2 linked regions of the Rhinolophus ferrumequinum genome follow. The protein of the gene in region 1 binds, or shares a complex with, the protein of each later gene. Links are inferred from orthologs where the notes say so. Each region holds a gene or a part of one and is shown on either strand. Other genes may lie near its edges.

What was found. The genes of interacting proteins can lie anywhere in the genome.
Region 2: the proteins of RAD18 (region 1) and UBE2B are in contact, whole or in part, in a crystal structure (PDB 2YBF), measured with the Homo sapiens proteins. The link is inferred for Rhinolophus ferrumequinum from reciprocal best matches to the Homo sapiens genes RAD18 and UBE2B. Residues at the interface, in NP_064550.3 of Homo sapiens: Tyr342, Arg343, Lys344, Lys345, His346, Lys347, Glu349, Phe350, Leu353, Val354, Gln356, Ala357, Arg358, Lys359, Gly360, Tyr361; in NP_003328.1 of Homo sapiens: Pro20, Val22, Gly23, Val24, Ser25, Gly26, Ala27, Ser29, Glu30, Gln35, Asn37, Ala38, Val39, Phe41, Gly42, Pro43, Glu44, Glu49, Asp50, Lys54, Leu55, Val56, Leu73, Ser74, Asp151, Ser152.

The regions. Positions count from the first base shown.
Region 1 is NC_046300.1:44,748,390-44,752,136, forward strand, and holds the start of RAD18 (E3 ubiquitin-protein ligase RAD18), read left to right. Parts: upstream 1-1,422; 5' UTR 1,423-1,504; coding exon 1,505-1,555; intron 1,556-3,747. UniProt on the Homo sapiens protein: E3 ubiquitin-protein ligase involved in postreplication repair of UV-damaged DNA. Postreplication repair functions in gap-filling of a daughter strand on replication of damaged DNA.
Region 2 is NC_046307.1:10,302,022-10,305,768, reverse strand, and holds the start of UBE2B (ubiquitin-conjugating enzyme E2 B), read right to left. Parts: upstream 2,552-3,747; 5' UTR 2,426-2,551; coding exon 2,382-2,425; intron 1-2,381. UniProt on the Homo sapiens protein: E2 ubiquitin-conjugating enzyme that accepts ubiquitin from the ubiquitin-activating enzyme E1 and transfers it to a E3 ubiquitin-protein ligase. In vitro catalyzes 'Lys-11'-, as well as 'Lys-48'- and 'Lys-63'-linked polyubiquitination.

The DNA of each region.
Region 1 (3,747 bases):
GATTATTGCCCAATGAGTATTAGGAAAAAGTCAGTTGAGTACATCTCTGGCTCAGGGGCCAGAGGTTCCTTAGGAAGAGGGCCCAAAAGAGTGAAGCCTTAACTTCTCTGAGCCTCAGTGTCTTCGTCTGTAAAATGGCAATAATAACCTTACCTCTGCCTACTTTACAGGTTAGCTCGAGTGCTTGACCAGTGGTCACTTAGAAAACTATTTGTTGAATGAATGAATGCATGGACCATGTGGGGCAGCAGTGGCAAGCTGCAGGGGTCTGCACCAAGCAATATAACTGTGAAGACTTGCTGCCCATGAGGCCTGCTGCAATGGAGTCCCACCTAAGGCAGTGGATGAGTGCTGAGCTGAGTAGATAGGCTGGGTGGCATGCTGGTCAGCACAGGTACTCTTATACCTGCTTGGTGAACGTGTACCTGTATTGATACAGCCTGTTTAGAAACTCACATAATGCTAGCAATAACAGTTTTAAATGAGCAAATCGACCTAGTAGTTCTATTTACAAGAAATCACCAGATATCCTGGCTCAAGTGTGCCAAGATTTATATAAATAGTATGTTTATTGCCGCTCTTTGCAAGAGTAAAAAATTGGAAACAACCTAAAGGTTTCCTTCATACGAGAGTAGATAAATAAATTGTGGTACCTTTACATTATGGGCTACATGGCTGTTAAAACGAATGAGGTAAAGCTATATGTAGTAACATGGAAAGGTCTCAAGATGTATGGTTAAGTAAAAAAAAAACAGAAAAATTCAAGTTGACAGAGCTATACATTGAATATAACACTTGCAGGGGAAAAAATCCATTTCTATGTATCTGCATAGAAAATATTTGGAAGGCTACACAAAGTTAAGGCAATAAAGAAAAGACTAACTTTATAATTTTAATTTGATAAATGAAAGCGCTCCCGTTTAAAAAGTCCAGAGGCTCTATAATCTGGTCAATGAACTGTGCGACTCAAGGAAACAACTCACTTTTTTGAGCCAAAGCTTCCTTTTGTGTAAACTGACAATGGTACTTCCTACCTCCCGGTACTGTGATGGGGTTAGATGAAATAATACTAGATACAAAAACCCTTTTCAAAGTCAGGGGTTCAGAGACAGATAATTACAGCAATCAGGGAGGGCAACACAAAGAAGGAGGCATTAGCCTAGACCTTGAAAGATCTGGCAAGATCTGGATTTGGTTTGTGTCCTGGCTGTCTTTCCCCAACATTCAACATCCATTTATTAGGGGTCTGGTACAAAACCTGATGTGGACTTTTTAACCATTTACTTCCTGCCGTGGAAGGCAAAGCAGAAGTCCGGCGCGTGCGCAGTACTAGAGCATCGTTGGCTGCGCTCCTCCCTCGTACTACAACTCCCGGCAGACTCCGCGCAGGTTTCGGGCGCGTCGCGGGCTGCTGTCGTAGCGTGGTAGCGCGGGGAATTTCGAGTGGGACTGGAGTGCGGGAGGCTAGTGGGTGGTGGACCCCCCATCCTCCTTAGGGGAGACCATGGACTCACTAGTCGAGCCTCGGTGGCCTCCAGGTCTGGCAGTCATGAAGGTGAGTGCTTCGGGGAGGTTGGGGGCGCCCGGGTGTCATCGGGAGGCCAGTCCCGCCTTGAGGATGAGAAAGGAAGAGGCGGGAGAGGCGAGCTGGGCCTGGGTAACCCGGTTCTGCTCTGCCACTTACCAGCCGCATGGCTCAGGGCCTTAGTTTCCTCCCCGAGAAGGGACGGGGACAGGCCTCGGTCCCTTAGGGTGAGCTGAAGTTGGCTGTCTTATGGAACCGGGTATCCTGCAGTTAAGTCACAACAACAATGACCTCGAGAAAAGCAGTTACTTTAAACAGTGAAAACGACAGTGACAGCCCTTTCTGAGGACTTACTACTACATGCCAAGCATTATGCCAACTCTTTCAGTACATTAGTTGAGAATTTCTGAAAGTGACCCCCGACCTGATTTTGGGTGAACCTTGCATCAAAAAACATTTATTTAATCACCTAGTGAAGCAGGTAATCTTCACATCCTATTGTTACCCTCTAATTACACCCTCTAATTACACCCTCTAATTACCCTCAAGAAGCCTAGTGCTGGTTTGCCCTAACTCCTTCCCAATGAGTCCTAACTCCTAACAGTTGTGCACGTCTCTCTTTTAAACAAAGGGACCAGGACTCAGGCGCAGCACCAGCCTTTCATTTCATTGAATTATTTCTCTTATATAACATTGATTTTTGTGGCTGCTTGGCATTTTGTGGCGGCAAGGCATTTTAGTTTCCATTTACAGTAGTGGTGAGCCCAGGATTCCTGCTGTATTTGGTCAAGAACAAATACACTTTGCTGTGCTAGTTAAGAGTCAATTGCTTGGTGTTTCTCCTTGCTCTGTGATCACTTTCATTTCAAGTTCTCATCCTGTTCTAAAGTTTCGTACACTTGGGGATTATGGCATGTGTCCCACTGATTTATAAGGCTGTCTCTGAGGATTAAGTGAAGAGACTTGGGGGAGGTTAACTAAGTTTGAGACTTTATTCTTCCGTCATCATCAGTGTTATCTACTGTTTTGGGGCCCTTGAGATACAGCCCCACGGTGAAAAGCTGACATTGGGAGGATCTAAGAAAGATGTGGTTTTGAGGTTGTGGTGGCCCTGGCACCGAGGTGAGCATAGATTTGAGTTCTGATGATCCTGGGTTAAATCTGGTCTCTGCCTCTTCCTTAGCTGTGATCTTGAGTCAGTTACTTAATCTCTGAGCATGAATTTCCTCAACTATAAACTGGAGACAAAAATAAACAGTTTATAGGGTTGGTTAAATGAATTGATGTGTGTGGCTAGGGATCCTGTCTGTCTTACTCACTGCGTAACACAGTGTGTGGCACATAGTGGGTGCTCAAAAATTATTTCCTAATTGATTAAAGGTATCTGGAAGGTAGTAAGCATTCAATTAACATATCTTATTAACACTTAGCGTGTGTTAACTGTTTAAACCCCCTTTTTATTTGTTGTGAGGATTGAATGGGATAAAGGAAGTGAGAGCTGTGTAACTTGTAAAGCTACCTGTCTGTAGACTTAAGCAGATTTTATATATTCCCACAACTTCCACTGCGTTCTCTGGAGGCAGGTTCCTTGTCTTTGGCTTTGATACCTCATCACAGCACCGAATTGAGGGTTCAGCACCAGAGAGTATTCAGTGATGGAGTTGATTGAGCCCGTATTAGAATCATGAAATACTAAGGTTGGGAAACCAGCCCCCCTCCAGTCTTTTAATCCCTTTTACATTGTATTTGCCAGTTTGTCATCTAGCTTTTGCTTGAAGTGTGCCAAGGACAAAGAATTAGCTGCTCCCAGAAGTAGCTCTGTTGGAAGTTCTTTCTTATATTGAATAGAAATCTGACTCCAAATCCATGGTTCCTAACAGGATCCATGAAAAGACTTTGGTATCTAGATTATTTATAAAATTTTTGTTTATATGTATGCTTTTCTAAGGAGAGAGTCCATAGTTTTCATCCATTTTTCAAAGGGATCTGTGACCCAAAAGCTTAAGAACCTTTGCTCTAATTATTGGCTTTTTACCCATTCCCTACTTCCCCGTTCCACTTTCTCTAAGTTAAAGAAATCTTGCGGCATCCACTTGACCACTCTCTATTTGGGGTTAGATGCATGTGACGTGTATGCTACTGTCTTGGAATGGCATGATGGGAAATTTGTGCGAGAGTGTTATAGCTCATCTGATGCGGTGACACCTTCCGCGCCACCTTTC
Region 2 (3,747 bases), on another chromosome or scaffold:
GACCAGGTATACACTTATCTACAAATTATCTAAAATTCCAAAGAGTTTGGGAGTATCCCTCTTCAAATACCATCAAGATTAAGATATCTCTTCAAGAACTAATGTATACAGGCTTCCCTCAAAAAATAAAAATTAAAATTAAAAACCTCAACTGCAAGATTTTCACAGAACATCCATTTTGCTGCTGTATGAGTCCTAACCACAGCTATTTGTGCAACATGGCCACCAAACCTCCTCCCACCCCCCAAAAAACAAAAAAACCTCAGTGTAAACTAGGGTTTCCGGGCAGGGATTCCCGTCCCGTTCTCGTGATCTTTTTTCGCTTTCCCATTCCCGAATCCTGAGAAAAGTTGGTCGGGAAATCGGGGAGATGGGCTCCTTGAACCCAGTAATACCCACAATGGGAAATAAATGTATTACTCGCAATGTATCTTAGACATTTTTCCTATTTATCGCTAGGGTTTCCGGGCGGGAATTCCCGCCTGTTCTCGGGAACTTTTTTTCTTTTTGCTTTTCTGTTCCAATCCCAAGAAAAATTGGTCAGGAAATCGGGAAAATCGGCTCCTTGAACCCAGGTGGTTGGTAGTATCGGCCGTCACTTTGTGGAAACAGTTCATCGTGAGAACAGAAAACAGTTTATATCTCGGGATTCGGGAAAGAAAAGCGACAAAAACTCCTGAGAACGGGCGAAATCCTAGTGTAAACACAAAACTATTAAAAACACATATCCAATTTAATTAGGAAACTAATTTTAGGCAGGAAAGTTACTTTATACAATTTGCTTCAATTGGCAATGGCTTTTAAAGTAATCAAAGTTTCATTTAGGTTTTCCTATCAGTCCCTATTTTAGAGGTTCGGCACTAACATTAAATTTACCTCTCAGATCAGGAGAGTCAATACAAAGCTACTACCATCCAACATTTGTCATAGTCAAATTCTCATAACCTGGAGACCCTTGGAAAACTAGCAAAAGTGCCATGTGTTCAACTCAGAATAAAGCAGAGACTCACAGTAAGAAAACCAGGGTAACAATGGACACAAACAAAGTTTTATTATTTGAATTTTGTTCATGGGAGTTAGTCTGAAATCTACCAATTTCAAGCTTCAGAAGAAGCATGAAATAGGGCATCTCCTTTTAAAGACTGTTATCTCAGTAAAAAATGAATGCTACATTATATATATTATACATGCAGTGATTGTCATGTAGTATAATACTTTGAAATTAGTCTACATAAAAATGGTTATTTTTAGTGAACCTCAGATTAGGCCACGATGAAGAAGCCTTAGAGGAATTAGGCTGCTTGATGCCCACCAAAGGCTAAGAGAAGTTACGAATATATTCAACGATAAATTGGCTGAAGCCCAAAACAATAGGTTCCAAAGGCCTCACCTACGACGTTGTAATTGTGAAGTTGAGAGGTTACTTCCTGAGCAGCTAATCTAAAATTTTACACTAGATATTTTATCTCAATCAAGGCAGGTCTCCCATGAAAAACACTTATAATGTGCAGAGGATCGCAATGCTAAGTTTTCTCAGTCATTTTTTTCCCGTACCTCCAAGTATTCAATCAAACGTAAACTGGAAAAAAAAAATCACTTCCTTCTCACTAACCCCCACACTTCTCAACAAAACCCTATTTTACAAAAGGAGGCCCAGGGAGTATCAGGTTAACGCCAGTTAAGGGAAGGCATTTTTCCAGACTTTGGAGGCTATAGATAGGGCTTTATACACCAGGCCACGGAGCTGAGTTCCAGAAGGCACTGGCAGCCGGTGTTGCCAGCTCGAGTCCCAGGTTTCTAAGCCAGTTCTCAAGGTCCTTTCAGGCGGGCGGGTGAGAGTCGGGTTTCGGAGGATGGGTTAACCACCTCCGGATCTCGCGCTGCAGACCCCACCCTCACTGCAGAACGAACGGGGGGGGGGGCTTTTCGCCCCAACCCTGTCCCTCCGAGGAGACCGCAGGACCATCGAACAAAGCTGATTGGTGCAGCAAGCAGGGAAAAAAGCTTCCCCAAGAGCTCGCTTTTGGGAGACAAGGAGGGGGCGCCGCCGGGTGCAGGGGTGGGGGTGGGGGGGTGAGGTTTGAACGCTGGGGCGAGACGTCGGGCAGCTGGCCCGAGCAGGCAGCGGGGAATCCTAGGACAGCCCACAGCCATCTTTTTACTTTTGGGGAGGAGGGGGTATCGAAATGTCTTACGTCAGAGGAGTGAGCAAGCAAAGATGTGGAAGTGCGAACGGGGGGAGTAGAACTGGCCTCCGTCGGTCCCGCGGGGCCCACAGTCGGCCCTCTTAGGACCGTGAGAGGAAGGTATCCCGATCCCCACCCTGCAGGCCCGTAGGTCTGGGGAGGAGCCATCATCCTGGCGAACGTGAAGGGCCTTACCGCTTGAAATCCCGCATAAGCCTCCTCCGGGCCGGGGTCGACATGCTCCCCAGCTGCCCCGCGGTCAGTCTGAGAGAAAAGAGTCCCGCGCAGCCCCCCCACCCCCCGGCGCGGCGGCCGAATCACTGCGGGTCACCGCCGCCGCCGAGGCTGCACAAACAACCCTGCAATGACGTCTCCCTCCGCCACCTCCAGATCCCTCCGCCCTCCGCCACTACCACAGAATGAGGGGTGGAGGAGAAGGAGATAGGCCGTATGAGAGCTCGAACGTAGCCTTTCAGCAGGACCCTATCCATTGTGGCTGCCTGACCTAATCGAAAAATTAGTCTTCGCTGTGTTCAGGCTGGAAATTGTGAATTAAGAGACACCGAAACCGAAACACCACCCTGTCTCTCCCCCTTTCACTAATTTAGGCCCGACCGGGTGGGGAGAGAGGGACTCAAGCGAGGTCGGAGATTTCAGGAAAGGAGGAGGGATGACGTAAAACCACGTGACTGCTGGCGGAGTTGTCAACAATCCACCCCTGAGGGGGAGGGGGCGAAGTATCTAGAACCACGTGTCCCTGTGACGCGATTAGAACGGATCCCTTGAGAGTGTCTCCTGGATCTGAGTCTCAGCCAGGTCAGTGAAGCAGGTAAATTGACTGAGCTGAGGGCGGGCATATACTTTTATTAGTTTTCCATCTGTTTCGTCCTATGAACAGGGAGGGCAATCGAAGAGGTCCTGATGGAAGCAAAGCTTGTTTTGCTTAAGTCTTTAAAACTGAGCCGAAAATAATTTGGATTTAAAATCCCCTCTGGCTGGTTCAATGGCTTATCAAATCTGGTACATGAAGAAGAAAGTGATGGGGGCTTTCATTTTTTCTAATAAATGCAGGATTAAATGCTGAGGCCCGTACGAAGTAAAATCCCCTAAAATACTTCCTTAGGGCCATGCAATAGCGTGTATGTATGTACATTGCAGTGGGGTTTCCAGGGTTGGAAAGTCTGGGCAAAGATAAAAGAACGGTGTAGATTGTCCAAGGTTTATTCACACTCCCTGTGGAATTAAGAATCTTGTTTTTCCTTTATAGGTCTGCCCTCATATGAGGATGTGTCCAAGTCCATGGATTTGGCTAGGATGGGGTACCATTGTATTTGTCAATAAATGTGGGGATGAGGTCTCCAGAGAGCATATCAATGGAAGGTTGGTTGTTAAAGAAACCTAAAACTATGATTCAGATCTTGGGGGGGGGGGTAAATATACCCTGTTTCCCCAAAAATAAGACCTAGCCAGACAGTGAGCTCTAATGCGTCTTTTGGAGGAAAAATTAATATAATAAGACGCGGTCTTATATTAATTTTTGATCCAAAAGACGCACTAGAGC